Linked DNA regions of Lytechinus pictus. Each later gene encodes a partner of the first gene's protein in a complex. Links are inferred from orthologs where the notes say so. Each region holds a gene or a part of one and is shown on either strand. Other genes may lie near its edges.

What was found.
Region 2: the proteins of protein fuzzy homolog (region 1) and ciliogenesis and planar polarity effector 2-like are in contact, whole or in part, in a cryo-EM structure (PDB 7Q3E), measured with the Mus musculus proteins. The link is inferred for Lytechinus pictus from reciprocal best matches to the Homo sapiens genes FUZ and CPLANE2. Residues at the interface, in NP_081652.2 of Mus musculus: Arg26, Arg35, Ile109, Val110, Lys126, Glu127, Arg129, Ala130, Tyr132, Cys133, Asp136, Gln215, Ala216, Ala217, Arg218, Asp219, Tyr220, Pro221, Tyr223, Pro232, Leu238, Thr239, Leu240, Leu241, Arg242, Pro255, Leu256, Gly257, Gln258, Pro261; in NP_001074643.1 of Mus musculus: Glu36, Gly38, Leu39, Leu40, Glu41, Arg42, Val83, His84, His85, Glu86, Thr88, Gly89, Ile90, Gln91, Thr92, Thr93, Val94, Lys124, Phe125, Met128, Glu134.

The regions. Positions count from the first base shown.
Region 1 is NC_087260.1:17,861,203-17,877,622, reverse strand, and holds the start of protein fuzzy homolog, read left to right. Parts: upstream 1-8,393; 5' UTR 8,394-8,451; coding exon 8,452-8,601; exon of another isoform or gene 8,602-8,639; intron 8,640-10,097; coding exon 10,098-10,219; intron 10,220-11,107; coding exon 11,108-11,192; intron 11,193-11,523; coding exon 11,524-11,592; intron 11,593-12,441; coding exon 12,442-12,546; intron 12,547-13,319; coding exon 13,320-13,517; intron 13,518-14,158; coding exon 14,159-14,361; intron 14,362-15,112; coding exon 15,113-15,294; intron 15,295-16,095; coding exon 16,096-16,243; intron 16,244-16,420. Other genes in the region: uncharacterized protein LOC135157043, read right to left, coding at 205-400. UniProt on the Homo sapiens protein: Probable planar cell polarity effector involved in cilium biogenesis. May regulate protein and membrane transport to the cilium.
Region 2 is NC_087246.1:46,317,201-46,333,592, reverse strand, and holds the start of ciliogenesis and planar polarity effector 2-like, read left to right. Parts: upstream 1-7,302; 5' UTR 7,303-7,482; exon of another isoform or gene 7,483-7,540; intron 7,541-9,628; 5' UTR 9,629-9,656; coding exon 9,657-9,789; intron 9,790-11,524; coding exon 11,525-11,680; intron 11,681-13,068; coding exon 13,069-13,193; intron 13,194-14,657; coding exon 14,658-15,098; 3' UTR 15,099-16,392. UniProt on the Homo sapiens protein: Required for efficient primary cilia initiation, regulating a late step in cilia initiation. Plays a role in the final maturation of the mother centriole and ciliary vesicle that allows extension of the ciliary axoneme.

The DNA.
Region 1 (16,420 bases):
GGGCTATCGTCCCATGCATTGATAGTTGAGCACAATATTTTTTTTTCATTTTAGTATTCAAGGCAGTTTGATTTTAGTGTCAAATCTATTTTGATCGTCTACATGGTCTACTTGAAAAATGTGTTGCATTTTGGCTTCCCAGGGCTTAGAATAAAAGCAAATGTGGACATGGTAGATACGGTAGATTAAATTGCTCTTACTTACGTGTTGTCATGCCTGTTGACATGGTTGGGGGCGTCGAAAAGGGGAAAAAATGTCCTTCATCAGGAGAAAAAGATGGTGGCGGAAAGGTAATTAAAGTGGTTCCCGGGAGCGGTATCGATGTCGTCTTCCCTGCGATGAGGTCCAGCATAGTCGTCATCGTCATCAAGACGGTTCGTAAAGTCATCATGCTCGTCATGTTGTTGTGGTTATTTCTAAGTGAAAAAAAGTAATCAATAAGTTGCATGTCTGTGCCTGTGCGGTGGCTTAAATATGCAGCGTACAAACTTGCGACAAGCGGTATTTTTGGCAGAAATATTGCTTTGTGCCTTTGCGCAGAACTACTCCCTGTTTGCGCATGAGCATGACACGTATAGTTGGAGCCAATTAAAAATGTTCAAAGATAAGTCTGCAATGAAAAGCCAAGTAAAAAAAATCTCAAGCACTGCATGTGTTTTTTTACTAGGGTATGCCTCATCCTCTCACATGCTTCTATGTTATTTGTAATTGATTAAATGATGATGCTGAATCAATTCAACTTGAAATCCCCCTTAGGCCTAAATAGGAATTACTATTGTTTAATCTTTTACGATTTATCTGCAGTTGCTTTGTAATTATATTTGATATAATACTAAATAGGTTCATTATTGCGGATTGAAATAATCGCTAGAGGGTATTCATATTTGATATGTTCAGTATTTGTATTCGTCTATGTATATGATGTTTTATATCTGTATTTGTTTATGTAAACGATGTATATGATGTTTTGTATCTGTATTTGCTTATGTAAACGATGTATATGATGGAAACGGAACAAAAATAAACTTGAGCTTGAACATGAACTTAAACTTTTGCTTGTAAAATATTCCACAAAGTCGATCAACATTCCTCAGCACTCAATATAGTAAAATCTGAAATCTACTTTCAAACTTATACTTCTATCCCACTGTCGTTCGATCCACTACGATTGGCCTTTTGTGGCTGATCGATCGCGAAAGATTTTGAGCCGTCCAAAATTTATTTCACAATCACGACGATCGCTACGAATGACCTCAAGATCTGACACGATCAGTACGATTGCTCCACGATGCAGACCATGGTTTACATCGTGGTACGAATCTTGAGTGGGAACGAGGTACGAGGCTACGTACAGCTTTGAGATTGAAAAAAGTCCCACGACAAGAACCACCTTCAGAAAGGAATCAGAATTAAATGAAACGGATGTTCATAAAGCTTTAACAGGTGACATGAAATGATGTAGGATTGAATTTCAAGATGAAATCATATACATGTATATAGTGCGTATTAAAAAACGGGACAGATTCGAAAAGTCTATACATTTTTTGTTTCAAATTATGATCTCTACATTTTGGTGTCAATAGGTGCTCTGAAGTCTTATCCTTCAAATGCCATTAAAATGATTTAGTTTCGTTCATGCTTGAGCGAACACAGAATGTTTTGTCTGGGGTTAAAAAGGAGGCTTGCGCCAAAATGGCATAAAATGATAAATATGATGGTTGGACTTCTTGCTAATCAGCAGACTTCCTCTTAACATTTTCATTATCTTTGCCATAATTTTCGAATTATGCGTTCAAAATTCATTTCCAAATATACTTATTTGCTTGAATTGTTCTGTTGTTCCTTTTAGCTTTGAATATTCCTTCTTTAGGCAAGAACATTTTTTTTTAACCGAAGTATGGGAGAGCGTGATTTTTCTCCAAATCCTTTGATTGTGTGCTACAAAGGTTATGGTTCCTTTGAACAGTGGCATACTGATGGGTGGGGGCTTAAGGTGCCCCCCCCCAAAAAAAAATCATGACCAAGAAAAAAAAAGTGGAAGGAAAATAACAGAAAACATAGAAAGCGAAATATGATATCATTTTCTGAATATTTATGTCAAAATCACAAAATTTTATATTTTAATAAAAAAAGTGGAAATATTTCCTTGATGGCTTCACAACTTTTTAATACATTTGACCCGATCTGCCGTATCTTGCTCCTTCAAAATTGACTTAATACACCATTGCCGTTGAAAGACATGAATCCTTTCCTGTTTGTCCTGTCAAGCACATAAACTTGGTGAAGGATTCAATAGGATTCATGTCTTTTATAGGTACCATAACATAATTTGTTTCACAAAATAAAAGGATTTGAATAATTACAAATTCTCCCAATTGATAATACAAATCTTCTTACTTGGGTTGACAAAAAGTTTACTTTTCTTACTTATGAAGGAAAATTCAAAGGTAAAAGAAGTTTAAATGAAAATCAAAATAATTCAGGTAAATAAATAAATTTAATTTCTCATTTCTGCCATTTTTGCGCAAGCCTCTTTTTGAACCCCCGACAAAAACGTCCCATCTTCGCTCAAGCATGAACAAAATTTATTTTTTTACATAGCATTTCAAAGATAACATCTCGAGCATTCATCAAAATATAGATAAAATAATTTGAAACAAATATTTTATAGACTTTTCAAAACTGTCCCGTTCTTTTATACGCACTGTATAGGTAATAAGTAAAAGAGGATGGAGTGACAACGAAACGTGAATTAATTTTTGTAGATTCCAATTTCTAAAGAAGTTAGGCATAAGAAGAATACCATGGTGCAATGTAGACTTTGGTGGCGACCTGTTTCATGGAAAAACTGGAAAATCGCGAATATTTCCAATTTTATTTGATCACAAAATGTGGATATTAAATACATGACAAAATATTTCTTTAAGCATTATTATGTCCTGAAATTGGGCGAAATATTGTATGATAACAGTTTCAAAATGTGAAACTATTAGTACTATTACTACTACTACTACTAAAAGTTTTTTTTGGGGGGATGCCCCTTCAAATCACGATACCATCGAGATAACAACGTATTTTTTTAATCAATTGAAACAAATAAAACATACAAACTAAAACATGTCAAGGGATACAAAATTAAAAAGGTTTGAAAAACCCGAACAACTTTGTATCCCAATGAAAATATAAATTGAAATATAGTAGCATCAAGATAAAAAAACCCCATTAGTTTAAAAGACAATAACGTAGTGGCAAGAAGGCACCGGAACAACAGGATCTTTATACTTGATATAGTAGATTTTACTTGATTCAGTATAATGTATTTTGTATCAATTTCCATGTAGGTCTATATACTTTAGTACTTATGATATGAACGGAAATTGACAGGAAGTACAGTGTTATTTGCAGGCTACAACAATTACTTCAGGTCATTTACATTCGAAGCTTCGGACATCAAATTAATAGTCCTGTAACCTACAGTACCATAACATTTCGGTTAACATATACATTAGCAACAAATGACTCCATGATTAGTCAATGAAGCTTTGAACCATTCGATCAATCAAGTAGATTTACTGTAGGTACACTATAATTACTTACTTAAACACTGTTTCTGCTGTCTTGCACACTGCTGGCGCGGGTTGCTTATTCCTGTCGACTGTTCACCTTGGACGTATGACCAGCTTATACCAAAGGTATTTCCCAATATAAAAACTAATACTTCAATGATATCTCTTTGTTGTATGCCCCTATACGTCATAAATATTTGTGGCAGAAATACCTACCTGCGAAAAAACAATCCGGTCACACTCACTTCACAATAACAATGTACAAACGCTAGTAATTCATGGCGTCAAACTTGTACCCCAAGGTTCTCTTTTTCTCTTCCTCTTATTTTTTTTTCTCTCTCTCTATATTGGTTCTCTTGTTCCAACATAATAGTGGAAAATGCATCCCTCCGTCCGTCATGTAAACATTACTCACACTTTTGAAGAAAAGAGGACGGAGAGAGAGAGAAAGAGAGGGGGTGGAAGACGTGGAGGAAGAGTGGACTGAGCAATCGGGTGATGTGCTAGGCTAATTAAAAAAAAAATCGAAACGAAAACCGACAGGTAGGCCTATATATTTCGTAAATACCTTAATGATAAAAGAGTCACAATGCCTAAATGCTGCAATAATTTGGAAATGAATTGGCTCCAAATAATTCGAAACATTTAATTACATTATTCTCATATTAAAACATGACAAATAATTAAAATCCAATCATACCTATACTTCAATTTTCTCTAGGAAATATACTCTCTTGAAAGAAAAGAGCCAAATTACAAGCCCTTTCTTTCCTCCATAACATTTCATCCTCATAGCTTTTGCATTTTCAGTTTAAATATAAAGGTATATTCAAAACATTCGTGTATGTATTACATACACGAATGTTTTGAATATACCTTTATATTACATACACGAATGTTTTGAATATACCTTTATATTTAAACTGAAAATGCAAAGCTGGCCATCGTCACATGCTTGTATTTATATTTAGCAAAATAAACATAACATGATTAATAAGAAACTAACGTTCTGAAACTCACACGTCGTGAGACTAATTTTTGCCCTTAGTCAACGAAGAAGCGTTTATTTTTTTCTCTCTATTCTTTTTTTTTACAATTGAGTATTAAGCATATGATTACACTTAATTGTTGGAGATGTGAGATCCACGCTATTGGGTTATTTTTTAAAATAGTTGTTTCGATTAGCCTAAAAGCTTAAAAGCTATAAACTGGGGGCCTAATCAAACGGTACGTGTCAGAGAGCACGTATGCGTTTGATTCGTCAAACCTAAAAAGCTGCTCATGTGGAAACTTCTAAATGGACTCGAGGCATACAGTATTATAGTTCTAATCATGATAATGGGATTTCGTTCAAGTCCTTTCCATTAAGGGTCATGATGATTAAAACAAAATAACGTTTTTGTTCTCCTTTTTTTCATTCATTAGTTTTAAGCTCGATAGTTTTTCATTTGATATCTGTTTCCATTGATCATAATAAGTGTTTACAGGGGCCGATGAACCACGGGGTGGGGGTGTAGCCTTCCCACTTTTTCAATAAACGTGAAGAAAATCCCATAAGTAAATCTGATTGTGCTTGTTTCATAGGTTAGCCACCTCCCTCCCCCATTTTCGGCCCAGCCCCCCAACTTTTAAAACCCCTGCCGCGGTCCCTGGCCTTGTTTGGATCATATAGTTTTTCAAATATCAGTGATGTTTGCCCGTTTATCTCCTTTATTCCATGCAGGTTTAGTATACTGGTTCCCATAATCGTGTGACAATAATGATTGCATAATTATATTGATATATTTTTTTTTAAAGACATAGCAAAATGCGAATTTAACACCCATACTTAGTCAGGGGACTGGGATTCAAGTGGGGGTAACTATTCACACCCCTGTCCTACAACGCTAAGGTATTTGGGACCTATATAATTGGGGACCTATAGTTGTCGAAGTTGTTTCCTGTTCAGAAAATATATAATAGGAACTGTAATTCTATGGGCCCACACACCATGCACATGTGCAGACCGGTATTAAAATCACTATGTGAGAAATTCTTGTCATTCAACTGTTATAATCAGGGGCGGCGTCATAAGTTGGGCTCTTACCCCCTCCTAATTTTCATGTCATAATACAGTGGTGCTAAAAAGTTAGTGACCCCCACCAGAAAATGCATTCCTTTATATGCTGAGTGTTGAATGTAGACAACAACACAACAATGTTTGGCGAGCCCAGAGAAACAAGCTTTATTGAAAGTAATATGTCAATTACTGACTTCACAATTAAATATCAACATGTCAGAACTTATACAAACACTTGAAATATGTTCATTTTCAGGTGGGGTTCGCTAACTTTTCAGCATCATGCACTAAGTACGTATTATTCAATTGAGAACAAAAAGTATGTCATCTTCATGTCGACTTGCCCCCTCCTCCATCAAAATAATCTTCGGTCCCCCCTGGTTAAAATGGTTTTACCCTTAGCATATATTTATGCTGATACAAAGATACAAATTGCGCGACCAGATTTAGTCGTGGCAATGTTTTTTTTTAAATACATGATATCAGCATAGACTTTACTTCATTTTCATCTTGTTTCATACCAGTATATCTTAGGGTAATAGAAACTATGGAGGCCATCTCTTTTGAGGTTGCCCTTGAAATTCGATCTGTATGTTGCCTTTTTAAATTTTATATTATGTAGGCCTATACATCATTAAACTGGCTTTGTACAACAAAAGCCTGATCCTCGAATCAGCCAGCATGTAATGAATACTTTGTATTCTATTTTTTCCCCAATAAAATAAAGAAAGAGAAATTATATATGTGAACAAAGCGGACCTAAAGAATCAATTCCCTAAATTTTGCTTTATAATCGCATTTTATGTAGTAATTCATCTTTCACTCGTTCAATCTCGGGTTTATAGCAGGGGCCGCGAAACGGTTTTCAAAGTGGGGGGCTGAGCCAAAAGTGTGGGGGGGGGGCTGACCATGCAAAAAATCACAATCCTATGGTCATTTTTACGTTTTTGTACACGCTTCCGCGGCCCCTGCATAGGTCAGTCACACCCAACCATTGCCAACGGGAAAAGATACTTAAAACGGCAAAATATTCGAAATGATGTGGATAGCAAGATTTAAAATAAAACAAAGAAAGTCACCAAAATGTTCATACACGCCAGTGAAAACGATTCGTCTAGTATTTTGATTGAATTGGAGGGTAATTTAATGCCTTTGTGAATATTGTCACCTGAACCTATCAACAAATTTGCCGGACTTAACAATATCAATTTTAAACGACAATAAAAATTATGCTGGTAGACGCATGTAAGATAAATTTTTCCATTTTCAGTTTTTATTTCGCAAGTATCATATTTTATCTCTCTCTCTTTCTCTGACTTCTATCTGCCTTTATATTTTTCTTATTTCATCCTTCTTTTTTTTGTTCCTTTTATTCTCCATACGCTTTTCCCGATTCCCTTTGTATATACTGCAAAAACTGTGGTGTTAACCGGTGTACACAGAGGACCACATCAGTTATTTTACACCGGTGTTATAAATTGACAGTGTTAGTTTAACACCTATAGGTGTTATTACCCCACACCTATGGTTGTTACATTTGCACTCTTTGGTGTTTATGTTCAATCTCTAGGGTGTAATTTAACACCTCAGATTGTGGTCCTCTATTAACACCAACTGGTGCCGGTTTTAACACCACAGTTTTTACAATGTATCTTTATCATAATTTTATTGTGTGTGATATATTTGTGATAATTCTCATGATTATTCTGAAAATATTATTTGGTCGTATTATCTTCTGGATTAATTTATAACTTACATTATACGATTCCTCAGTTGGAGGCGCATAATTATAGAGACGTTAATTATAATCAAAACGTGATATGTGCTATATAGAGCTTTTAATATTGTCATTCTTATTATTATTGTTATTATTATTATTATCATTATTATTAATATTATCATTATTATCATTATTATTATTATTATTATTATTATTATTATCATTATTATCATTGTTATTATTATTAATATTATTGTTATTATTATTTGTTATTATTATCATTAATAATAATATTAACATTAATATTTGTGATGTTCCGATCAGTTAGTAACATAATTCCTTTAGGCATCTCCCAAATATTTCTCATAAATCGTTTTAGTAGATTCCGTTTTTATATATACATGACATTTTCATTCTTGTACATATCTACATAAGTTTAACATAAGCCTATATGTGTGTGTCACTTCCACTCTGCAGCTATACTAGTACCATCTGTATGATAACTGCATATGCAACAATAACACATGCACACACACCCACACACCAAACATGTCTTTAAAATTTTGTATTTGTAAACAGAAATTACAATCATTTATGGTATGTTTTTCATTAAATCTTGGAGATTATTTTTTGTCATTCACCAGAGCGAGCGCTCAAAAATAGGCATAATTTTTATTATATTTGTGAGGTCCTCTATAATTGTGGGTATAACTGATGGAATATAAAAGAAATATCTTTCTATTAATACCTTGGATAATACTTTGGATGTAGGCATTTAAAGCTAATAATTTATTTGCCTCTCGATGGCTTATAATGAAGAATTCTGAACACTTTTAACGGCACTGTATACAGCATTTGAACATGGGCAGGCAAAACTTTCATTTGGGTCAAATGTCACTTTTCTGGAGATCCAATATCTCAATAAATTGAATGAAAAATAATAATATTCAGTATGATATTAGATAAAGGCATGAATGAGTGAAGGAGAATCTGATTGTGCCAAAATATAAGCATTTATGTCCCTCGGCCTATTCACGAGGAAACCGGGGATAGTAAATGTGATTTTTTTTTTCTAGTTTAAAGACACCATACCACCGGTCAAGTGTATGACAGATTTTTTTTTGACGCAGCGCAGACGAATTTTATCAACATTTTGGTTCACAAGACGTATATCTACCATGGCAGTGCATTTGGTGTGTCTTACAAACGAAGGAGGAGTTCCACTTTTTACACGAACCAAAGGAGATGTAAAATCCGTAAGATTTTTCCACAGATATGAATTTTACCAAAGAATGTTAGTTTGAGCCTTGTCGTACAGTATTTGTATTTGGCTTCGGTCCCACTCCTTAATTTTCGTGTGTCCCAAGTCAATGATTTTTAATTGGTTACTGTGACTGTGTGATCATGATCTGAGACTGAGTGAGAAGACTAGCTAAAATAAAGCTAGGACGTGGCATTGGAATAGGCCCAAAACAAAGGACAACATCAACAATATATAATAGATAGTAAAAGCAGGGAAATTTCTCTTCGAGGAGTCATTGCATTGGTTTTAATAAAAGCAGAAAGATGGAGAAAAATAAATTATTAATGCCAGCCCATAGGCATACCGGTAATGGTGAAAGTTTGAAAGTAAATGCGGAGATCGACAAGCATTCTGCCATTCATAAATCAAAGTGAAGTCAAGAAAGAAAATATGATGAGTATTTTTTTAGGTTTTTAATTCATGAAGTCATGTGAAGTTTACTTGGCTCACTCATTCAAATTCAATGATTTGAGCAGAAACCCAGGGAGCACCGGCCCGCGGAGCCCAGGACTCGTCCGATCCGTCTAATACTAGGCGGACATATGCTCTCCGAAATGGGGTAGAATGGGGTTGCAATAGCACTCAAAATAAAAGGGGAAAAAATAAATTATGCACTTACCTCGATTATATTGATGAAGGTCTATCGTGAAACACAGAATCCTGACATCGTCTGTGCATATCAGACCACACTCTCAGCGGAGACTCCGTGCAGTATTCTTAATCATAAGGTTGTAAACACAATGATTTCACTCTCTTGGTGGGAGCAATTTTCAGTCATTTACATGTTGATTTGGAGGACCCTACACGATTACAATCAATGTCATGTGGTTTATGATTAATTTAATTGAAAATAATTATTCCCCAGGTTGAGTGACATTGCATCTGTGGCCTCCTGTGGCCACTCTTTGATTCTGTATAGTCACAGAAAAAATTCCTGCTAAAGTACTGCTCTACATCCTTCAATTTTCGATGAATTGTACAGATATCTTCTATGATGTTGACTTCTTCTTCAGGAGATCAGATATCAGTCTTTTCTTGGACATTTTTTTCAAGTACCAGGATATTTCCTTCAGCTTAAATTTGCAACATGTTTATTCAAGATTCATTTGTTATTGGTTTTGGAATGGCATCAGTATTAAATGGATGCCTGGAACAAATATCTAAACTCCTGAGTGTTCAGTTTCCTCACTGACCTGACTCTCGGATTCTGTTTCCTTTGACTCATGTTTCCTAATATTAAAATAGACAGCTCTTTGAAGAAGTCCATTGACCATTGCAACTCCAGTCTTAAAAGCTTTGAATGGTGTTAATATCCAACTACATGTATCACCAACAAAAATGAAATCATCCATTAAGTTAGTATTCCTATCTTTGATGGCATTCAGAATCCAATGATTCAATCTTGAAAATGTCTTATCAGTGTTATTCTTTTTTCTCTACATTGAACAGCTTGCTTTTGCTGAACAAGGCATGCTCTACGGCGTTCAGATGTTTGCCCAGAACCATGGGGTAAAGCTGGAAAGTACAACCACTGAAGAGGCCAAGGTCATCTGGCAGGTGTTCCATGACAGGTAGCTACATTGACCATTGAGGTCAAAGGTCAAATACAGTGAAACCTATACATAAAGACCACCCAACCTAGGCCTTAAAGAGCAGGGGTGTTTCACAAAGATTTAAGTATGAATTAGAGTTGCAATTAAATGCTGACACATACATGGTATGCAACATGGCAATCTTATACATCAATATGCTATAGTGCGCATCCTCTGACTATTGCGGTCATGCTTTACAGCGTACATGTATATACCGAATGCAACTAGGCATTTAAGTGCAACTCTTTTTGAAGCACCCCCCAGGTTGTCTTCATGAATACGCCACTATTATAAACATTTTAATCTGGAAAACTATTCAAGGGAAACGAAAGTTATGACCTTTATAGTTTTGTGGTCCCATTTTATTGGGTTTACTACTTACATGTATATACACAATATGTTTATGTAATGAACAAAAGTAAATCAATTGACTTTTAAAATAATATATTTTATAGATTTTCCTTATAAATTGTGTTCCTTATGTTGCAAAATTAGGTTTTTTATGTTGCAAAATTAGGTCTTTTATGAACTGTAGCAACTAGCAAGGCATATTCATGGAGTATGTGTATATATATATATATATATATATTTTACTCTTTCTCCTTTATATTAATGTATTTTTTCAAAACGATTTTTAACACCATATTAAAAGTTCTTGCGTCGACACATTGATGTCTACACTGCAATTGTTATAAGGCAATTTGAGATTTGCAACGCAACTTCTAGGACATGGTTATCCCTTCTGTTGCACTTGCATATTACAGTATGTTTTGCCAGTGAAGGCATTACCGATATCCTGTCGATGATGCAATGCAGTACGTCGGTGGCAGCCGCGATTATTAATTAATTTTCTTGTTCATTCTACAGTGTAACCTTGGTTTTGGTGACCAGCAACGATGGAAGCTGTGATGTACATTACAATACACTTCTCAACCACATATTTCATTCAATGGTAAGTACTACTGCTTGTAGTTCACCTGGTGACATCCACATAGGGTTTATTATAGAATGGCAACATGCATATGGAATTACCGACGCATGACCAGCCATGCATCTGGTAAATTTGCCATGCGTCGGTAATTACTTATATATGGTTGTAAAAAAAATGGTTGTTTCAGGTTATGTTCGTAGGGCTGTATACCCTTGTAATAATTAGGATTCTACAGGAATATCTTTTTGTCTTAAAGGAGATATTCTGTCTTAATGGACCCATTCAGATATGATGATAATACTTACAAACATCCATGTTATCTCATATCATTTGTCCTTTCTTTCGGCTGCAGGTTATGTTCATAGGGCTGGATACCCTTGTGAGTATCAGGAATGTAGAAAAACTCCGCCGAGAAATAAAGGTGAGTCTTAAAAATGATATTTCAGCTAGCTTTCAAATTCTTTTCATGAAATTTTAAGTTGAACAGTTTATTCAGGATACATCATGCTCTTCTTTAAAGGATTGCTCAACAAGTGCCCTCTCAAGTGCCCTCACAGGTAAAACAGTCGGCTCACAGTGTGCATGTAGTCCCGTACATTTATTTATGTGTTCTGTCCAAATGACTCGGCAGGATTTTGTCAAGTATTAAGGTTATTTTGATAACTTTTTAATCTTGATAATTGCAAGTACAAAAAATAACCAACTGAGCGAACACTTCATGTATGCTTTTGTGTCACAGCAAACAATTTTTTTTGCTTCAAGCGGGTAACTATGTCATCATTGATTGGCATGTTTGAGCATCTTTCAACACCTGAACTTTTATAAAAAGTTTGAGTATAGTGTAACCTGCATATAATGTCTACTGAAAGGAACCCCCCCCCCCAAAAAAAAAAAAATAGAAAAAACAAAAACAAACAACTGGCCTTTAAAGACAACAAGTGGCTGCTTAAAAACAATTTCTTATACACATAAATTGCCTCAGTGGGAATAAGCTTTAGTGGCATTATAGACAGGTGGCTGCCATAGACATATACATTCATTTTGCCTCCATGGGAATTGGTTTTACTGGTCACTATAGGGAGATGGCTGCTATAGAGAGGTTTTTATCCACGCAATCTGCCTCCATGGGAATCCGTTTTAGTGGTCGCTATAGGCAGGTGGCTGCTATAGAATGGTGGCCCCTGAACAGAGTTTTGATCGTAACCACTCTGTAATAAGTTTAATAGTCCTCTCATGTTCACCCAAATTCTGGAAATTGTCTTTATATCAGGTATGCTATCCTGTTATCGATGTACTTCTTCAGGAGTCTGACATGTTTGGAGCTCTGACTTCATCAGTAGATGTCCTTATCTCACCAGAGAATACTACGTTACTGGTAAAGCTTTGATCAATTATGTTATTTCTTTGGGGGGGGGGGAGGTGGAGGGCAGATGAACTAACCGCCTCCCCCCACAGGGATTGCAAGCCCCAAGAGGGGTCGAGGAAATGAAAAATAGAAATGGGATCAATAAAAAGGGGAAAGGAAATGCAGTACCTAAGATGGATACGTGAACAAATGTTTAGATAAATGTCAACAGTGGGGCATTTCAAAAGCCACAACGGTTACTTGGGTCATTTGTGATAGGGAAATTGGAAAAATTATATTATTGGTATATGATTATGTTCTGTTAATAATAATGATCAATCAATTTACCCTTTTTCATTTTTACCAGTTTAATAAGTGAACACATTAAAAAAAATGCTCATTCTTTCTACAAAAATTAATTGTTAATCTGTTAAATTTATGGATAAAATATGGAAGATGGATATTTCTATGGATCATTTCATGTTACTTCAAATGTTTTATGAATATTCATGTAAGACATTCTAGCCATGTCATGGTTAACTACACACATATAGATAAAGGAAAAAATTGTATTATTCACTTTTATTTTGGAATAAGAAATTATTTCCTGTGACTTTTGAAAACACATTTTGCTTTTAATGTATGTTCACTCATGTATGAATGATGTGTCAATCAGATTTTCACACATACATGTAAGTCAGTACAGAAATGTAGGAGCACTTCTCCCTAACTATTTTTTCTTATTAGGGTAAAAATGAGGAATTTAATTTTTTGCTTGTTTGTTACTATTTTTTTCTAACAAGGATCCTTTGGAGGCCTTTGTCACCAGTGCAGATAGTACATTCGGTTGTCTTCATGCTGATGGCAAGCTGGTCGTTGCTACGTCCAACTGGTGGTCACTCAGTGGTCAAGAGATGATGCTAGTGGCCAAATTCATCCAGTCTCTGCCCGTTGGGACATCCAGTGATGTTCCCATCTATCTGCCTCACGCTAGCCCTAAGGTAAGCCATTAAAAAAAAAAAGATTGTGTGAAAGTGTCCAATTAGGCTTCATTTTATATCAAAGCTTAATGATAATGGCAAGTTGAAAGAACTGTTAGAAGAAGAAAAGGAAATGGAGAGTGAGGAAGATGAAGGGTAGACAGGAAGAAGGGGAAGTAAGGTTGAGGAGGGGAGAGAGAAAGGACAACAGTGAAAAAAAAATAGAAGGATGGAATTACGACAGACAGAAATAAGAAGGGGAAGAAAAAGGATGAAAATGAGGAAGGAAGGGATGAAGAAAAGGAAGAATGGAAGGATTGATGCAAGGTTGATGGAAGGAAGGAATGCTGGAGGGAAGAAAGGATGAAGAGATGAATGAAGTGAGGAGTGATGGAGTGAATGCAGAAAGGTAGGAGGAAGAGTAGGAGAAGAAGGGAGGAGGAAGGGGTGTCTAGAGAAGGACAAGGAGAGGAGAAGTAGCAGAAGGAGGAGATGAAGAAACAAAAGAGGATATGGAGGACTAGTGTCATAGCCAAGTGTGAACCCTGTCCTATTTGCCTGATATCAGAGGACTGGGCCCCATATGAGATCTAAACATTTTTTTTTTATACAAACATTTTGTGTGACATAGATTGAGCAATTCTGTTTTTGATATGTTTCAGGATCCTCATAGACTGTTGAGCATCCACCTCTTACCTGGTGTTGTAGTTAGTGTGCTGTGCTACGCGAACCCTACCCTATCCGAAGCAGAGGAACAACTCATCGAGCCATCGTGGAGGTCGCACCACGAAGCTCTCCGGGCAATCCAAAGGGCGCCCCCATCCAACATTCCAAGAACAATCCCTCTTGATGCTGGGATCTTGGGGTAATTACACACATATATGGTCTTAACTCTTTCCAGGAAGCCTGTTTTGTCAATATGTTATGTCTCAGCTGCACTTGCTAAACAACTCCATATGCATACCATCCGGATCTATCATCTTATTTCCAACAACATACCATCAGTCGGTTTGAGACTTTGGTTTTGTTTGTGTGATTGTAGAATTAATTTGTTAGCCTAATCTGTGTGAAAATTTAGGTGTTTTGTGGTGATATTGTTTTGGGGTTTATATTCATTTGGTCTACTAGCAGTTGGTTGGCTTCTCATATATTCTAAAATATGGGCTAAGTCCATCTGGTCTCCCTGCTGTGTGGTCTACACTAATCAATGAATCACTTAGTCTAATTCTCATGTAGTCAAATACCCAGCTCTAATTTCAACTTTCTCTACTTATTTTTTTTCTTTATTAAATTGATATTTGGTTAATGAACAATTAATCTCTTGTTGTAAGACCAAGTCGATTCATAAGAAATGGGTATAGTCACCGAATATTAGACACATTGGTGAATGGACTAAATAACAGTTAGACAAAATAATGATAAGACAGTCTGGTTGTCGACAAAATAGAATTAAGTGGGGTGAGACCAATCTGCAATTCACAGATTTGGTCGGGGGGGGGGGGAGGGTGCAGCACGGTTATCAAAGTTGTTAAGATTGCCATTGAACAGCGCAGCTAGAACTTATATGATGTTTGATCCGTTATCAGACATGTTCTTTTTTTATCTTTCATGTATAGGTATGTTTTATTGAATACCGATCAGCACAAGTGCCTGTCATCCATGCATCTTCCACTGATCGCAGGGGGCGCGGCCGAGCTGAAGCCCCTGCCACCGTACGCCCGGAGAGAGATCCTCACTTCGTTCTACCGTACTGTCGCTGGAGGACTCTTCCCGCCTTCCATCAGTCCAGAGAGGCAGGGTAAGAAGCAAGTGGTGCTGCCGTTTGAAGAGGAGAATGGGTGGTTATTCTCCTTCTTTTTCTTCTCATCAATATTTCATTCTCTTCCTCCTCCCAATTCTTATTCTACTTCTCCTTAATTTTTCCCCTTAATTTTTCCCCTCTTAATAAGATTTCTTCAGCAAAACTGATCATATTATTTGTACACATCAATATGTGGTCCCATATATTAATTTCTTTGTAGTATTTATGAGTCTTCTCACCTGAGCTTCCATTTTTCCAAGAATCTGTTCAAAAATTGCTTTTAAGCTTCACCCTACCAGGGTCATTTTCTGTCTCCAATGTCGTCTCACTTCTCTTGACCCTAGTCCTCACAAACTTTTGAAATGGCACTTATTCACCTGGTCTGGCTGCATTGGAAATCTAATCCTATTCGGTGCATTGTTAATATAGAAGTTTCATACAGTGTACTGTATCATTGTTTTGCAATCATTGTTTTCCTTTAATTTCCCAAGCAAATTGCCATATACTGGTTGGCCATATGGGCCATCTATGTACATTAGGCATGGTAAACTGGCACAAGTTGACCTTCCATAAGTCCGTTATTTTCCCAAGTGTGGAGACCAGATTATGCCAAACATATGTTATATACCTCTTCTAAGTCATATTCATCCCAATTCGAATAGACATCTGTAACATTAGTCCCAGTGCAATCAGTTTAGGCAAAGAAACCTGTAGTTCAGCATTGTTAGATTTAATTGAACATACATGAATGATAAAGAGTTTTTAATTCATCAAATCTCAATTTCTTTTCTTGTGTAGATTCATCTGGCGAGGCCTACAAATCCCTTCCACATACTGCAGAGGAGACTTACATGTGTGGTGATGACTACAAGACTTACGCTCTCAACTCGGGAGGTTTTCAGTTCTATGTCCTCTTCTCATCGGCAGTTCCACAGTATGCTATGAGGTACTTTGAAAATCTTTCAAGTTTGAATTATCTCCCCTTTTACGATTATGTTTTTTGTAACTTTGTAAGATAAATATTCAAAGGGTGTTTTTTAATGTAATTGGTCTAGTGGTTATGACTCTCGTCTTTCAATCCGAGGGACGTGGGTTTGATTCCCTGCCATGGCGTTGTTTCCTT
Region 2 (16,392 bases), on another chromosome or scaffold:
TTTTGTACTCACATTGTCCGTCTATCTATCTAATCTATCTATCTATCTACCTCTTTGTCTCTTTCTTCTTGGTATTCTCCGTCACCCTCCTATTTTCTCCCTCTACCCCTTCCCTTTCTTGTTTCCTTTGTTCACCAACAACTCTCTCCTTCTCTTTCTCCTCTCTCACTGTCTGCCTGTCTGTCTCTCTCACTGTCTACCCATCTCTCTGTGGTCTTCTCCCTTCCCTTGCCCCTCTCTTCTCCCTTGAACCCCCTCTCATTCTTTCTCATTTATAACTCTGTCGTATCATATTCTGCACCCCCCCCTCCCCAGTATTCTTGTTTTCTTTTCACTCATCAACTCCTGTCTCCGAAAAATCTGGAAAAGGATGACTACATGTTAGATGTCTGTATTGAAAGTCCAGTTACATGCATGGTGTCCAGCTTGTAGCGAGGGTGCTCCGTCTGATTTGATATGCCCTTTCAAAATCCCATTTAGTTGTGTTTTTAGATTACATCAGATCTTTTAGCAGTCATAACAGCCCTGTATCAGTGAAAAGCAACGTATACATTCCAGGGTTTGTTTGTGCAGCATTTGTGTTTTATATGGTGTTTTTAATCTTATGGTTTTGATTACTAGTGTGATGCCATGGAAGTTCTGGCTTAGCTGTGCTGTATTTTTGTTTTGTTTCGTTGTCACAGACAGTATTTTAATTGTGACCTCTCACCTGGTTTCTGATCGGTTTGTTCGTACGTGTCTTGATTGATTAATAGCATTGATAAAATTGAAGGAATGTTTTATGTCCCGACACTGCTTTATTTTGACATGGACCATGAATATGAACCCCCAAAATGGTAATATTCTATTTGAATCAAACCCCTTTTTTTTTAATGCTGTACCATATGATCTTGGAATGTAGGTTGATGGATTGTAGAGGCATGAGTAATTTTCTAATTATCACCAAAGGTATCTGAAACCCTTTTAAGAAGTATTATTTTTTTATGACTAATAGTAATATTAATACTAATGGTGATAATAATTGGTTCTTGTATGATGCTTATATCTGCCAGATACAACTCTTCTGGCATTTTAAAAATTCCCATAAAAATTTAAGAATTATCTGAAAATTTTCTGGCCAATTTGAAATGTAGGTCATTTGATGATTCTAGCATACTTTTATCTGTGAATTTAAAGATTGTATAAACTGTGTATTAAGACAAGAAATTTCCAATACTTTATTGAATATGATTTGATGGGTTGGAAAATCATGCTTAATGGTACTACCATACCAAGTTTTACTGGTAAAACTGATAAAAAGTGTTTTATATGTACTTTTCAACCAACTTAAGGGGGAGAGGGGGGTTGAAGCACTCAACTACATTGTTGCTTTTCACAAAGCCATTTTTACATAGGACTGGAGTTCCAACATATATTACCTTTAAAATTTGTTACATTTTATTCTAGGAAAAAAAGGGTGATTTTAGAATGATTTTACTATTTTGAAATGAGGTTTTAGCAATTATATAAATCATATGAATTTATTTGAAATATTAATCAGTGATGATATGTACTCTCTGTGTATAATAATATATTCCTTTTGGAGTGCTGAATTGTAAAATGACCTTTTGGGCAAATTTTTTAATGTTCCTAATGTACAGTCATATTTCCCCTAATGGGCCGTATGGCAAATTGAAAACAGCCGTTCTATTCAAACCACCTATATGTAGCTGGTACAAAAACTGTTAAAATGGCTGTTTTTGATCGCTGTACGGCCGCCGTAGAGCAAATGTGACTGAGGTATAAAGAGCCAGGAAATCCATTCTGAAATGAATAGAATAATATTATCTGGTATAGGTATTACATTACTTTCCATTGCTCCTCGATTGGTAATAATAATAATATGAGGGCAAGATTTGACCATTTCTGTCTCTCTTGTGCATTTTACGGGTCATTGCTTTCATATTCATGGTTTTTAGATTCAATATTGTGTGAAATAAAAACAAAAAAGAGGATTAATCGCTGGATGTGTGAAGATTTCATGGTAGTTTTTTCTACCGTGCGAAATGCGAGCATTGTTTGGTACATTTTCATTTCGTATTTTTAGAAAAGACTGGATGTCGAAATTCCCTCCAAAATGTAAAGAAAAAAAAAATGCAATTTTATATCTGTAAATCCTGTATGTTATATAAGAAATCTAAGTAACTTATTGTTAGTCATTTTGTACTCCTCTATCTGCATATCTTGAATGAATTATGGTAGCATTATTTATGTTTTAATCTAAGACTATCTAGACAGAAGAGAAGAATAGGAAACAGGACAATTTGTACTATATAAATCTGTGTGCTGTGTACATGTTGATAAATAAAATTAAGGAATGAGGAAAGGAGGATTGTAAAATACAAACTAAGAATCCTTCATTTACAGTGCTTTGATGGGGAATGGATATGTCTGAAAGTTGTAACATTTTTCTGTCACTAGCAGGTCATATTGTAGTGATATATGGAGTAAAAATCAACAGCAACTAAAACACTTGACAAGTTGTGTTCTTTTTGTAGTGTGTAGGTGTACTTGATGTTAGATAATAATCTTTCTTTGAAGACTCGTGTGAACAACGTATGCAGATCTGCCACATTTGTGTTGCATTAAATCAGTAGCATCCATCAATTCTTATAAAAGAAAAAAAGACCACCCAGAGACTCGTTCAGATGCTGGTCATGTCTCGCATTGACTTTTGCAATAGTCTTCTGTATGGTCAATTCAATTCAATTCTTTATTCCATTTCCATTCAAAACATAATACAAAGTAATATAAAGTAATACAAATCAAATACAATTTTACAGACGAGCATTCTTACTTCGTAAAAAAAAAAAAAAAGTATAATATTGAGCATAAATAGTTATGAGGGGGGGTCCACTAAAAAGCAAAGCTTTTAAAGTGTGGATCCCCCTTGGAAATGGAGAAAATATAACCGACTTATTCATATAAATTATGCGTTTTTATATACAGGAAAGAAAAAAGAGAAGGAACAAAAAGGTCAAAATCATATTGATGTATGGTCTTGATGCACAAACTGCAGAGAGTACAAAATTTATGAATGAATGAATGAATTTATTTATTATCCAATGCAATAATAATACCAATTTACAAGTTTACAGACAATCAGTTATGAATACATTGAAAAGCAAGGATAATAGGAACCAGAAAATAGCATGAATGCCTGTCAAGTCTGGCCCCTTCTAGTCTAGATAGACAGAATTTAGCTGCAAGGATTACCGGTATTGCATAGAGTAAGGCTCACCTCTATTCAAATTCATCTTCCAGCTAAGTGAACTTGCATTAATGATGAATCCGCATGCTAGAATTTAGGTATGCAAAAGGATTAAAATCTCCATCAAATGATAATGATGGCAATGGTGCTGATAATGATGATAGACTCATAATAATACGAATGAAATAATCATCACCATCGTCATAGTGATAATAGCAATAACAGCAATATCAATAATAACCACTGATGATGATGATGATGATGATGATGGTGATGATGATAATGGTGATGATGATGATGATGATGATGTTGATAAGGAGACGATGATGGTAGTAGTGGTGGTGATGATAAATATTCCATCAATTTTCCTTGGAGATAAGGCATTTTGGGTTACTTTTTTATTTTTAAGTGTTACTGTGAGTAATGAGGCAAGAATTTTGAGGGGTTGCATTTTGGATAGGGTGTAGATTTCTGGAAATCAAGCAAGACCCCCTCCAAAAAATAAAACAAAATGGAATTAAATAAAAATAAATAAAAATGTAAAAAATATGAAACTAAAAAAATGTAAAAAATATGAAACTAAAAAATATAAAAGTGAGCGATTTGTGCAGAATCTCTCGCAGATCTGGGGGGGGGGGGGGGGAAAGAAGAATTATTATGCCAGATATCGATGAAAATTCCATGAGAATCTTGACATTAGCAATAAAATTTGATAAAATATTTTGATACTATTTAAGCTCCAGCCCTTCCCTAAAATCTCACCATATTCCCTTGTGTTTGTATAATATATGCCAAAGCTAAGAAAGAGTACATTCCTCATCAGTAGAGTGTTCAACTTCAATAGTCATCATTCTGATGAATAATTTGCTATCGGGTCTTATATAGCCTATGCATAAAATATAATTGCTTTGTGTATTTTGGCTTGCTCGCTTTACAGTCTCATATTTTCCCACAAATATCCAAAGTTATGTAATGTCAAAATTCCTATTTCTGCTACTTGTCTTTGTTCCTTGCTCCCCTTTCCCTATTTATTCTCTCTCTCTCTGTAGAGCTTGTAGTGGGAACCACTCAAAACTGATGTGCACACTGTACAACATTGTTTTACTAATTCAATATCATGCGAATCCATCTGGGTAAAATGATACCCTTGACACAAAGACTTAGACCTCTCTTTTTAAAGGAGAATGAAACCCTTGAAACCAGCTGAATCCATATAAAAGAGAAAAATCAAAGAAACATATTGTTGAAAGTTTGAGGAAGATTGAATGAATAATAAGAAAGTTATGAGCATTTGAATATTGAGATCACTAATGCCATGTAGATCCTCCCATTGGCAATGCGACCAAGATCTGTGATGTCACACACGTACAACTCCCTCATTACTTTAGTACTTATTTCCCTTATATTCTCACTTTTATAGAGTCTATCACAAGGTGAGGTGTTCTCTTTATGAGAGGACAAGTACAGAGGTTTCACAACATTATATCATTGATGAATCGTTTGTCATATGATTAGAATGAGCAAAAAGAGATGTTTTGGGGTATATTTTCAGTGTCCAAAACTGGACAACTCTCCCCTTTTGGACACTGAAAATGTACCCCAAAACATCTCTTTTTGCTCATTCTAATCATATGACAAACGATTCATCATTGATATAATGTTGTGAAACCTCTGTACTTGTCCTCTCATAAAGAGAACACCTCACCTTATAGAGTCTATCACAAGGTGAGGTGTTCTCTTTATGAGAGGACAAGTACAGAGGTTTCACAACATTATATCATTGATGAATCGTTTGTCATATGATTAGAATGAGCAAAAAGAGATGTTTTGGGGTATATTTTCAGTGTCCAAAACTGGACAACTCTCCCCTTTTGGACACTGAAAATGTACCCCAAAACATCTCTTTTTGCTCATTCTAATCATATGACAAACGATTCATCATTGATATAATGTTGTGAAACCTCTGTACTTGTCCTCTCATAAAGAGAACACCTCACCTTGTGATAGACTCTATAAAAGTGAGAATATAAGTGAAATAAGTACTAAAGTAATGAGGGAGTTGTACGTGTGTGACATCACAGATCTTGGTTGCATTGCCAATGGGAGGATCTACATGGCATTAGTGATCTCAATTTTCAAATGCTCATAACTTTCTTATTATTCATTCAATCTTCCTCAAACTTTCAACAATATGTTTCTTTGATTTTTCTCTTTGATATGGATTCAGCTGCATTTTTTCAAGGGTTTCATTCTCCTTTAATAACATTGATTCCCTTTTCTCATTTCTCTGTTTGCTTTTTCTTTCACTGGTTAGATAAATCAAAGGAGATACCCCTTTTTTATTAGGTCAACAAGATAACAAAATATAACAAAACTTACATATGACAAATAATTACAATACTCATCTTATCAGATCATAAACACTATCTGTCTACTCGTTTCTTCTTAGCAAATTGCTAGAAAACTCAACCCATCCCTTCCCATCCCCTGGATTTCACGGCTGACTGATTTATATTTATTATAAACAGCAGTTTTCATATTAAACTAAACTCCTCAAAAAAAGTTTGGAAATCTGACTTTGATCGATAATTTCTCCTTGGTTGTAATGAATATCGATGTGTAATTAATATTAATGAATAGATCATTTAATTTTCTTTAAAATGATACCCTACATGATATGATTACGGTTCACATGGAGGTGCAGTGCCTTGAAATGTGGGGCAAGGTCAAAATTCAAAAGTTGCAAAATGACACAATATTGAGAGTCACTGTTCTTTTTTCCGTGCATGGTGATGAGTGAGTTTCTCAGCGGTTTTTTTTTTTTTACTTTGATCGATAATCCTTCCTTGGTTTTATCGAATATCAATGTGTTATTAATATCAATGAATAGATCATTTAATTTTCTTTAAAATGATACCCTATGATTATGGTTCACATGGAGGTGCAGTGCCTTGAAATGTGGGGCAAGGTCAAAATTAAAAAGTTGCAAAATGACACAATATTGAGAGTCACTGTTCTTTTTTCCGTGCATGGTGATGAGTGAGTTTCTCAGCGGTTTTTTTTTTTTTACTTTGATCGATAATCCTTCCTTGGTTTTATCGAATATCAATGTGTTATTAATATCAATGAATAGATCATTTAATTTTCTTTAAAATGATACCCTATGATTATGGTTCACATGGAGGTGCAGTGCCTTGAAATGTGGGGCAAGGTCAAAATTAAAAAGTTGCAAAATGACACAATATTGAAAGTCACTGTTCTCTTTTCCGTGGTGATGAGTGAGTTTCTCAGCGGTTTCTTTTAATTGTTTTCATGCACCTTAACATCAACATTAACATGCAATCAAACACATCATTGCACAAGCAAACACAAGAAATAAACAAATATGCATGGGTATTTCGAACCATCTTACATGTATCTCACAGAACCATCACTACATAAACCACAACAAAACATAAAGAAATCAAGAAGCAGGGGTTTTATTTGAATGGATTTCATCTCTATTGACACAGACAAAAGAATCATGTTCTGTATTGACCTTTCATGACTATTTCTGCTCGTTTTGCAGCTTTTAAATTCAGACCTCATCCAACACTTTTGAATCCTGGGGAGCGTTTCATGAAAGGACTTGTCGGACGTTTTATCCGACAAGTCCCATTTTATCCGACAGTTACCATAGTAACAGTACCTCACAGCCAATCAGAGTCAGAGAAAGATGTCAGATCTGACAACTTGTCGGACAAAAATGTTGATGAAACGCTCCCCAGCTCTTTTCGTGTGGCATGACCATAACAAGCATGGTATCATTTTAAAGAGAATTAACTGATCTTTTGAATGATGTAAATTATGAATTGTGTAAAGTTGGGAGTTGGGAGAAATTAATGGCCAAAATCAGATTTCCAAACTTTTTTTGAGGGGTTTATATAGGTTTAGTTTCATTTTCTTTCTTATATTTTTTTCCTCGCGACTGTTTTTTTCTCTCTTTTGATTTATCATTTGACAATACCTTTCAACTCGCAAGCTACGAACCTAACTAGCGGGCTGTGCGATCTACCTGCGCCAGCGGCTTCGGGTAGCAGCACATGCCATTTCCGTTATATCACTCGATTGATTCTTCCTCGCCGCGCGCTTCTGTTTTCAATTTCGTGCTGTTCTAACTTACTTCTTCAGTTTCTAGCTCTCAGATCAGGGATCGGACCATTTCTACACAGAATTTTCGAACATTCAAACCTGTAAGTTGATGGGATGGAGGGCTGACAGATGGAGCACTGACGTTTGATTGTCAAAAAAGTTAGTTAGTTAGCTTGTGTCTTGTGACTGTCTAACCCAGAGAGCTCCAGCCCGCGTAGCGGGCTGGAGCCCAGACGCTCAGTGTGCAAACGGGCATTCAGGTGAGAGTACCGTGAAGTTTGGTCAAAATAATTTTGATAATACATAATTAAAACAGAAATTAAGCACTTACCACGATTGTATGGATGATAGTCTAACGAGTGGCAGTTTCCTGACATCGAGGCACAGACTGGAACCTCAAAATACGATCAGTTCTGTCGCGGTAGCTCTCCTCTTTCAGAATTCAACACAAAATGGCCGATCGAGACCGAGGCTAGTATAGCACTAGCGCATATAGACTTTGTCAAATTCGCGCATGCGCCCTACACCCTCTCGAACGGCCATTTTGCTATGAATTTTGAAAGAAGGAGAGCCACCGCGACAGAACTGATCGTTTTTTGAGGTTCCAGTCTGTGCCTCGATGTCAGGAAACTGCCACTCGTTAGACTATCATCCATACAATCGTGGTAAGTGCTTAATTTCTGTTTTAATTATGTATTATCAAAATTATTTTGACCAAACTTCACGGTACTCTCACCTGAATGCCCGTTTGCACACTGAGCGTCTGGGCTCCAGCCCGCTACGCGGGCTGGAGCTCTCTGGGTTAGTGACTGTCATGACTGTGAAAACCAGTCACCAGAAGAAAAAAAAATTAAACATAAAAAATCATTCACAAAGACACAATCATCATTATTATGACATGGGAGTTTGAGAAAAAAAGTAAACAAATACAAATAGAATAAGAAAGTCATGAGAAAGTAACAAATATTTAGAAAGGTAATCGTTTGTGTTGCCAGTCAGCAGTAGACAGCTGGCAGCTAGCCGTCTGTTTTGAGGATTTTTAAAACATATTTAAATTGTTTTTATTTCTCCTCGCACACAGACGGCTCGCTAGTATCGTGCTCCCACCATTATATATTAGGGGATTAACATTGCAAAATCCCCCCGATTTGGCTCATCGATTTTTGTCATTTCATAAAAATGTATAAAAAGAACTGGACCAAAAGAGATTATTAAATTCCATTTTGATATCCTTGTTCTCTGGGACAATCCCAATTTTTGGACCAGCGCCTCTACTGGTCAGAAGTGACACACGACCAGTTTTATTGGAGACTCTTGGCCAAAATTGTAATTGGGCACTATGCATGCTGCAGTTTTGCACCAGCCGACTTCAAGCAAATTTCCCCTCCACGAAATGTCATAGCAAGTCTCTCAAAACTAGTGGTGTTACTGTTAGACCAAAAGCTTCAGTCTCTGTACATTGCCTTGGTTGTTCCGCTGAAATACGTTGGCTCCACTCACCAATACAGGTGAATAGGGACAGTAAAATTGTAAGAAATTGTTAGATAAATCCCCAGACCCCAGAAACGACGGTTATTCCTGTCTAGTCTCTCAAGCACATAGGTCAATTTCCCTGCTGCTTATAGTTATATTGCGATTGTAAACGGCTGTATTTCGGCTTTGGTCTCTAAGTCATCGTTCAAATTCTCAGACATCACTGCGCTTGGCTTTATATGAGGAGGAAATTTGCTGGAGACTTGCCAAGGATTAATACTATAATAGAAACCATACCAACGGCCAAAAAGAATATTTTCCACCCCAAATTTTGTCTCACTGAGGTCAGAAGCCTATTTGTTTTGTGTGAAGATGACAAAAATCCTTATGAAACAAAAGGAGTAAATTTGAAAGTAGACTGAAAAGGGGTAATTTTTCATGAGGAATCTGATTGCCACATTGATTAAAATAAAATTTTTAATGTAAATACATGTATGCCATTTTTGCCCAAGTGTGGGCCCCCTTTTGAAAGTCACAAGATATATTTTTAATGGTTATATATGTCGTTCAAAGACAAGTGAGGACTTTTTGGGGGGAGCTTTTCAAATTTTATGTGGACAAAATGAACTTGAGTTTTGATTGAAAACCTTTTTTTTTTTTTTTGCCTCCCTTTTGGAAAATCCTGGATTCACCCCTGTGTCAAATGATACAAACTTCATTGAACTAAATTCTGTGTCATGTGTGAGCTATGTACAACTTTTTTTTTTTAAACAGATGTAAGTAGTCTGATGCAAAGACCCTGATGGAAGAAGAGAGGTCAAATTGGTCCTTTCACACTCTTGGTACCTACATCAATCATGATGGGTGGCATAAAACACAAGAGGGTAGAGAATACTTTACAAGTATCCTCAGACATGGAAAAAGGAGAATGTTTGGTGAGTACCCGGGTATTGAATATTATGATTGGCTACTCGAAGGCTAATCGACTTTAGTCAGGGAAGCGTTTCATGAAAGGACTTGTCAGATGATAGGCTATATCCGACAAGTCCTGGGCGCCGTCTTACAAAGAGTTACGATTGATCCAATCAATCGTAACTATGGAAAGCCAGCAAACAACAAAATCTAAAATACATGCTTGTCCAAAATATTTTTTAGAAATGATGTACATGTATATTCATACATTCACTGTTTTTTTTACAATTCAGTATGCTTCTCTTTGTTTTCAAAGGACATTAAGCAAATTTCCTAAAGAAAAAAATTATGACATTGATGGATTTCCATATACTTAAGATTGATTGGATCAATCGTAACTCTTTTTAAGACGGAGGCCCTGTTTTATCTGACAGACCGTAGGAACTGTGCTTCTCGGCCAATGAGAATAAGGGAAAGTTGTCAGAACTTGTAGGGACAGTGATTTTCCGTTTCAAAAAATTGCCTTTTCCGTTTCAGAAAATCTCAAATTCCGTTTCAGCATGTCAGAAAACGGAAATTCCGTTTCCCCATAGACTTTGTACACACGGAAAAGTGACAATTCCGTTTACACATGAATAGCAAAATCACAACACGTACACTCGCACTGGTCAAAATTTGTATCTGCTACTGTACCAACAACACAATAGAATCCGTTCTAATCGGATCTATGCGGGTGCATAAAATATTTTTACAAACCTATTTAGCATGCATACATCCTCACCTTTCACATTATTAGCATTATTTCACGGTGAAATGATATTTCATCGATAATTTTGGGGTTTTTTGGACATCGTTAGCATCAGTAAACGGCTTTTGCCAATCCGCCATCTTGGATTTTAAGACCACGATATCGTGCAGTTACATCTTAAAACGTAGAGGGCAGCAACACACGACCGTGTAGTTGAACGATATGTGTGCATGTGAAGCCCCACCCGGCCGGCTGCGCGGGTACCGGTACGAGTGCGGGGTACAATCGAGTGTGGTGATGTCGAGTGCAGTCACGATGTGTGAATTGTCATGATAGTAGCGAAGTGAGATCGTGTTTTCTGGGGTTTTGTGGCCATTTAATATTCTCATTTTGTTGTGATTTTGGAGTAATTTCTGTTGCTATTCTGTGTATTTTGAGGGAAAATACGTTTTCCGTGATTTTCCGTTTGAAATGCCACTTTCCGTTTCAAAAGGCCCTTTCCGTGAATTCCGTCCGTTTTCCGCGATCGCGGAAAATCACTGTCACTAAACTTGTTATATGAAAAATGTTGATGAAATGCTCTCCTGATCAAGAGGCCTTGATTTTCATAGAAATAGCCTATTCTTCAAGATATCGTGGGAAGCACCCAGTAAATAGAGAATTTTCAAATTGCATGATATTTGTGCATATATTGGGTATGAACTTGTAGGGTAATGTGGTTACAGGTCAAAGGTCACCAAGTTTGGTGCATCACTTCAAATGTAGCTTAGTATATGCATAGATTATTAAATTGAGAGTGAATGATTCTATTGTACTTGTGGAAAATGCTTTTCTTCAAATCAAATGAGATATGTAGCCCTATTAATTGTGTATTTGAAATTTTATAAAATCAGAAGATAATATTGATGTTTGGAAATATAACAGTCTTTGATTTTTGGAAAGTGGGTCAAAATTTCCCAAATATATAGGATTCTAATTCCTTGTTCAACTTGCATTTTTATTTTCATCAGGCTGTCTGGACAGTCCTTCATTACCGTCCCATCTAGAGCAGCCCAAGATATTAAAGTATAAACTGTGCTTGGTTGGGAAAGCTGGTGTAGGAAAGAGCAGTACTGTAGCTAGGTTATGTGGGCAGCAAGTAGCTACCAACCATGTGGAAACCCCAGGTAAGTTTAAAGGTCAAGTCCACCCCAGAAAAATGTTGATTTGAATCAAAAGAGAAAAATCAAACAAGTATAACTTTGAAGATTGCATCAAAATTGGATGTAAAATGAGAAAGTTATGCTTTTTCAGAAAACAGTTGTTTGCACAACTCAGAGATATGCAAATGAGAATGTCAATGATGTCCCTCACTATTTTTTTTTTATTGTTTGAATTATACAATATTTCAATTTTTACAGATTTGACTATATGGGCAAACTTGAATGAACCATAAGGGCAATTCCATAAAATGATCAACCTTTTTGTACGTCTGACCCCCATTTTTCTTTAGTTTTACTTCACATCATAAACTGACCAACTCATGGTCATTTGAGAACATTACAGACTGTCAAAATAACAATAAATCAGAGACAAAAAATTCCATGAAGGTCCCCTCATTTGCATACCAACCAGGATGTGCATATAACTGTTTTCGTGAAATTGAGCAAAACTTAAAAATTTCCTAACTTTCTCATTTTATATTTGATTTTGATGAAATTTTTAGTGTTATGCTTGTTCGATTTTTATCTTTTTATTCAAATAAACCTTTTGTTGAAGTGGACTTGTCCTTTAACCATGCATTTCTCTTTAATATGTCATGGTATTAAAATCTATTTGTATATTTTGTTTTTAACCCTGCTTTTAACCTATTGGGATACAAGGCTTACACCCTAGTCACCAAATATATAGAACATCATTGTTGTGTGCTTTGTAATATTCATGTATGAACAAACAATTGTCCTGGTTTTGATTGAATTAGATGATGAATGTGAGAGTTAAAGAAATGCTCATTAGAGGATCTTATCTGGAGGAATTTTCCTTCTAGGGGAGTTGACCTGTGACGATTTTACTATGATATCATTAATTGAAAAAAAAAAAATTACAATACATGTATCAAATATGATGTACTTCATGTGTTGAAAGGTGGGAGATTAGCATTAAAAAAATTCAAAAAAAAATTAAATATTTAGTATAGTTTTCTTTTAGTTATGATTGTTGTCCTTAAAATTAAGAATATGTTGGTGTTAATTACTTGACTGATGTTTTTTTTTTTCTTGAATTTTGAAGGCATTGAATTTAAATAATAGATAATAATCAGATGATAGAGACGTGTAATACCACTTAAATATTCTCTATGCATGTGGGTTTATTTTAATATTTTTAGTACTTAGGCTAATACAAGTGCTCCTTAAAAATGTATGCTTTTAACACAGATTTTAATCTGTCATTGTCTGTTATTGATCTCATAAAATAAGGTAGGTTGATCCACAATTCTGGTGCCATTTTCCCAAAAGCTCTTTTACCAAAAGTCTTGGATTTTACATGTATGTGTTTATATCATGTGTTTCGTTAGGTATTGTTAAAGCTGTGACATACTGGCCTGCAAAGCTGAAGCATTCTGGGAAACCTGTCATGTTCTGTCTTGAGTTCTGGGATGCTGGGCATGCTGTCCAGAGGAAGTTTGATCACATTCATCCAGTAAGTATTACTGAAGTACAACCACTGATTCACATTCAATTAATCTAAAAATAGATGGTCAACTTCTCATATTATTTCACTTTCATTCATGCTCATGAATGGAAAATGTGAAAAGTTTCTCGACCACTTGATTTCGCTATTTACTGGAAAATTCTGTGACATTTTTCCTGTAATTCTACTCAAAAACCAACAAAACCAATAACATGGATGGCCAAAGAAACTATTCTTCTTTTATAAAACATATTCATAAATGTCACTCAGCTTCCTCATGGTCATTTGCAAAATTTATGTCAGTTCTACTCGTGACTCTTTCTCACTGGTTTCAAGTAAAATATTGTTTACTTGGGGGAGATTTCGAGGTCATCACAAAATGAAAACTTGCCAATAATTGCACTGCTTCAGATTGCCAGAGAGAACCACACATTGAAGTCATTGTTAATGTAATCATTAAAAGAGGTATACTAGTATTATACCAATGATATGAGATATAGATGTATATTTTCCCTGTTGATGAGGTTCCTTTGATTGTTGGTGCCTGCTCCCAACTTTTAAACTGGATATTTCAACTCGATAATGCGATTATAAACTGCTCCCAACCAGGGATGTCTTAAAAAGGATACAAATGTACCCGCATAGTACCAGCTTTGACCCCATGTGATGAGCTGACGACAAGATGATGTGTTTTAAACAGGTGTTACAACAATGCGTTTCAGGTGTTTCAACAATAGAAACATTTTATTTTGGCGACAGTTTCTCAGATCAACAAGATAAAGTCAGATTCATATTTGGCTTGTCCAGTTCTTAATGATTCATTAGTATGTTTGTGGGCATGACGGGTATCAGCGAACAGAAATAACCATAATTCAAATAATATCGAAAGTTAATTATCTTAGATTCATGCAAGAACATGCATGAATTATACACAATATGTTCATAATAATACGTCTTCCATAATGAGTGAGCTCTAAAATATCTCATATTGGATAATGCTGAAATTAGTCAATTTGTAAGTAGTTCATATTATATTGGCATGCAAATATCACAAGGGCTTCCCTTCTGCTGTCCATGACTTATTTGAAATTTGCAAAAGAAATGCTTCTAGAGACAAAAATAGTAAATACTGATATTTCGCTTCTGCAGAAGCCAGACGGCTCCGAAGGGTTAACATCAGGATGCCACATGGAAAATCAACCCCCCGTGGAATATGCTTTGTCAATGATCAGGATGCTTTATTTTCCTGTATTGTGCTTGAGTTTTCTACCCTTCCTATCACGGCCATGCCCCAGCTATACAATTACTATGAGAAATAGATAGCAGCATGTATCCCACTGGCAAAAACGATTCCAGTTATTTGGAATGAATATTCAAGGTGTGTGGTATATTTATAATATATGGTGCACAGTCAAGAATCCAGCTAAAGTTTTCATATATATGTTTTCAATCTCTGTTCTCTTTACATTTTAGGCTTGCCGAGAAAAGGCTCAAGCAGTGCTCTACTTCTTCTCCTTCATTGATCGTTCCAGCTTCGAGGATTTGAGAACCCAGTTGTCCAAGACTCTCTCTAACGAAGACACACCTCTTCTGTTTGTGATTGGTACCAAGTATGACCAGTACAACCGCAGTGAAATCACTTCCAGGGAACTTCTGGACTTCCAGAAGCAGTGGCAAGTGCCAATTCTTAAGTTGAAGAACGTCTTGAAGCCCACGGAATCGAACGCTCTGTTGGCAGGCGACTCCTGTGCCGAGGTTGACGATGTTGCTCCTGCCATGAACACGTTGGTGGAATACCTGTGGATTCATGATCAAGTTCTTACAGGGAATATTGAAAGGACTCCAAAGCTTAATACTTCATCAGGAGTAGAGACACATACAGCTAGTGATGATGATGAAGCCACTTACGTCTGACACATATTGATATTGCAGAGTTACTGTGATCTCTGGCAGGAATGCTTTGTAGCGTTATCTCTTGAATAATGGTATTGATGGCTGGATTCATCATCATATAACACTTATTGCCAGAGAATACAAAGCATAATTATTATAACACTGGCTTTAGCTTATGCTACTACATTGGGTGATTCAAGTTCAGTCTTGACCTGTTGGTGTTGGTGTCAATTTTTACACGAGTATAACACCAAACATAAACTGAAGATGGTCCTGAAAAGTCACTCACTAGTTTTTGAGATGTCAATAACGTTATCTGGATCAGTTTTACAAAGTCAGAATAGATTTTTGAGCTAGGGGAAGCAATCCAAATTCCAACACTAACACCAACACCAATTCAAACACCGGACTTGAAATCACCCATTATCTGTAGTGCTCAGTGCATTCAGGAATCAATCCTACCTGGAAGGCTGGTATACATTTATTTCACCCGGGTAGAGAGCAGCACAATGTGGATAAATTTCTTGCTAAAGAAAAACATTCCATGGCTGGGATTCGAACCCATGATCCTCCGTATGGGTGATGACAGTCAGAACCACTAGACCATGATGATCTGTCAATCTGTAGATTAAGCCAAAATTATTTCAATGTGTGTACTTTGAATACTTTCCCAAACTTAAATTTCAAAAGTTTGATCATGTAATTGTCTTCTATAAGCATCTTATCTTGCCAAAAATATGACATGGCTGAATGAGACTATGAGAAACCCTCTTTAATCAACGAAATGAGTAGTATTGCAGATATGCTGTTAGGGTCAGTGGTTTTTATTTGAGAAAATTCATTGTCTTGTATTTTTGTTTTTTAATTGTTACATACCAATTTAATTCATTATATAATTTCTATTCATTGTGTAGAACAACCAATTGGTTCATCTTACCATTTCATATTGGATATTGGCTCATCACCCATCAGTGATTACATTCAAGGTCCCGACTACAGTTTTATCAAAATTTAATTTCAAGCCTGAATAATTCCCCAACTTACAGAACTTAATCACATCTTGAATTATGAACTTCCCTGCCGAGACCAAATTTGCAAAGAGGGTGGTATCACTCACTAGCATTTAGAAATCGTTAATTTATTTTTAAAAATGTTTCTTTACAAATTGAATACTATAATTACCACTCTTATTCTTATTTGACCACATCTGGGATGCCATTATTTCGACAACTTAAAGGAACATCATGGCATGGTAGTCTAAGTATACATAGGATTGACGATGATATGCTTGGTTTTAGGGGTACATGTGTTATTA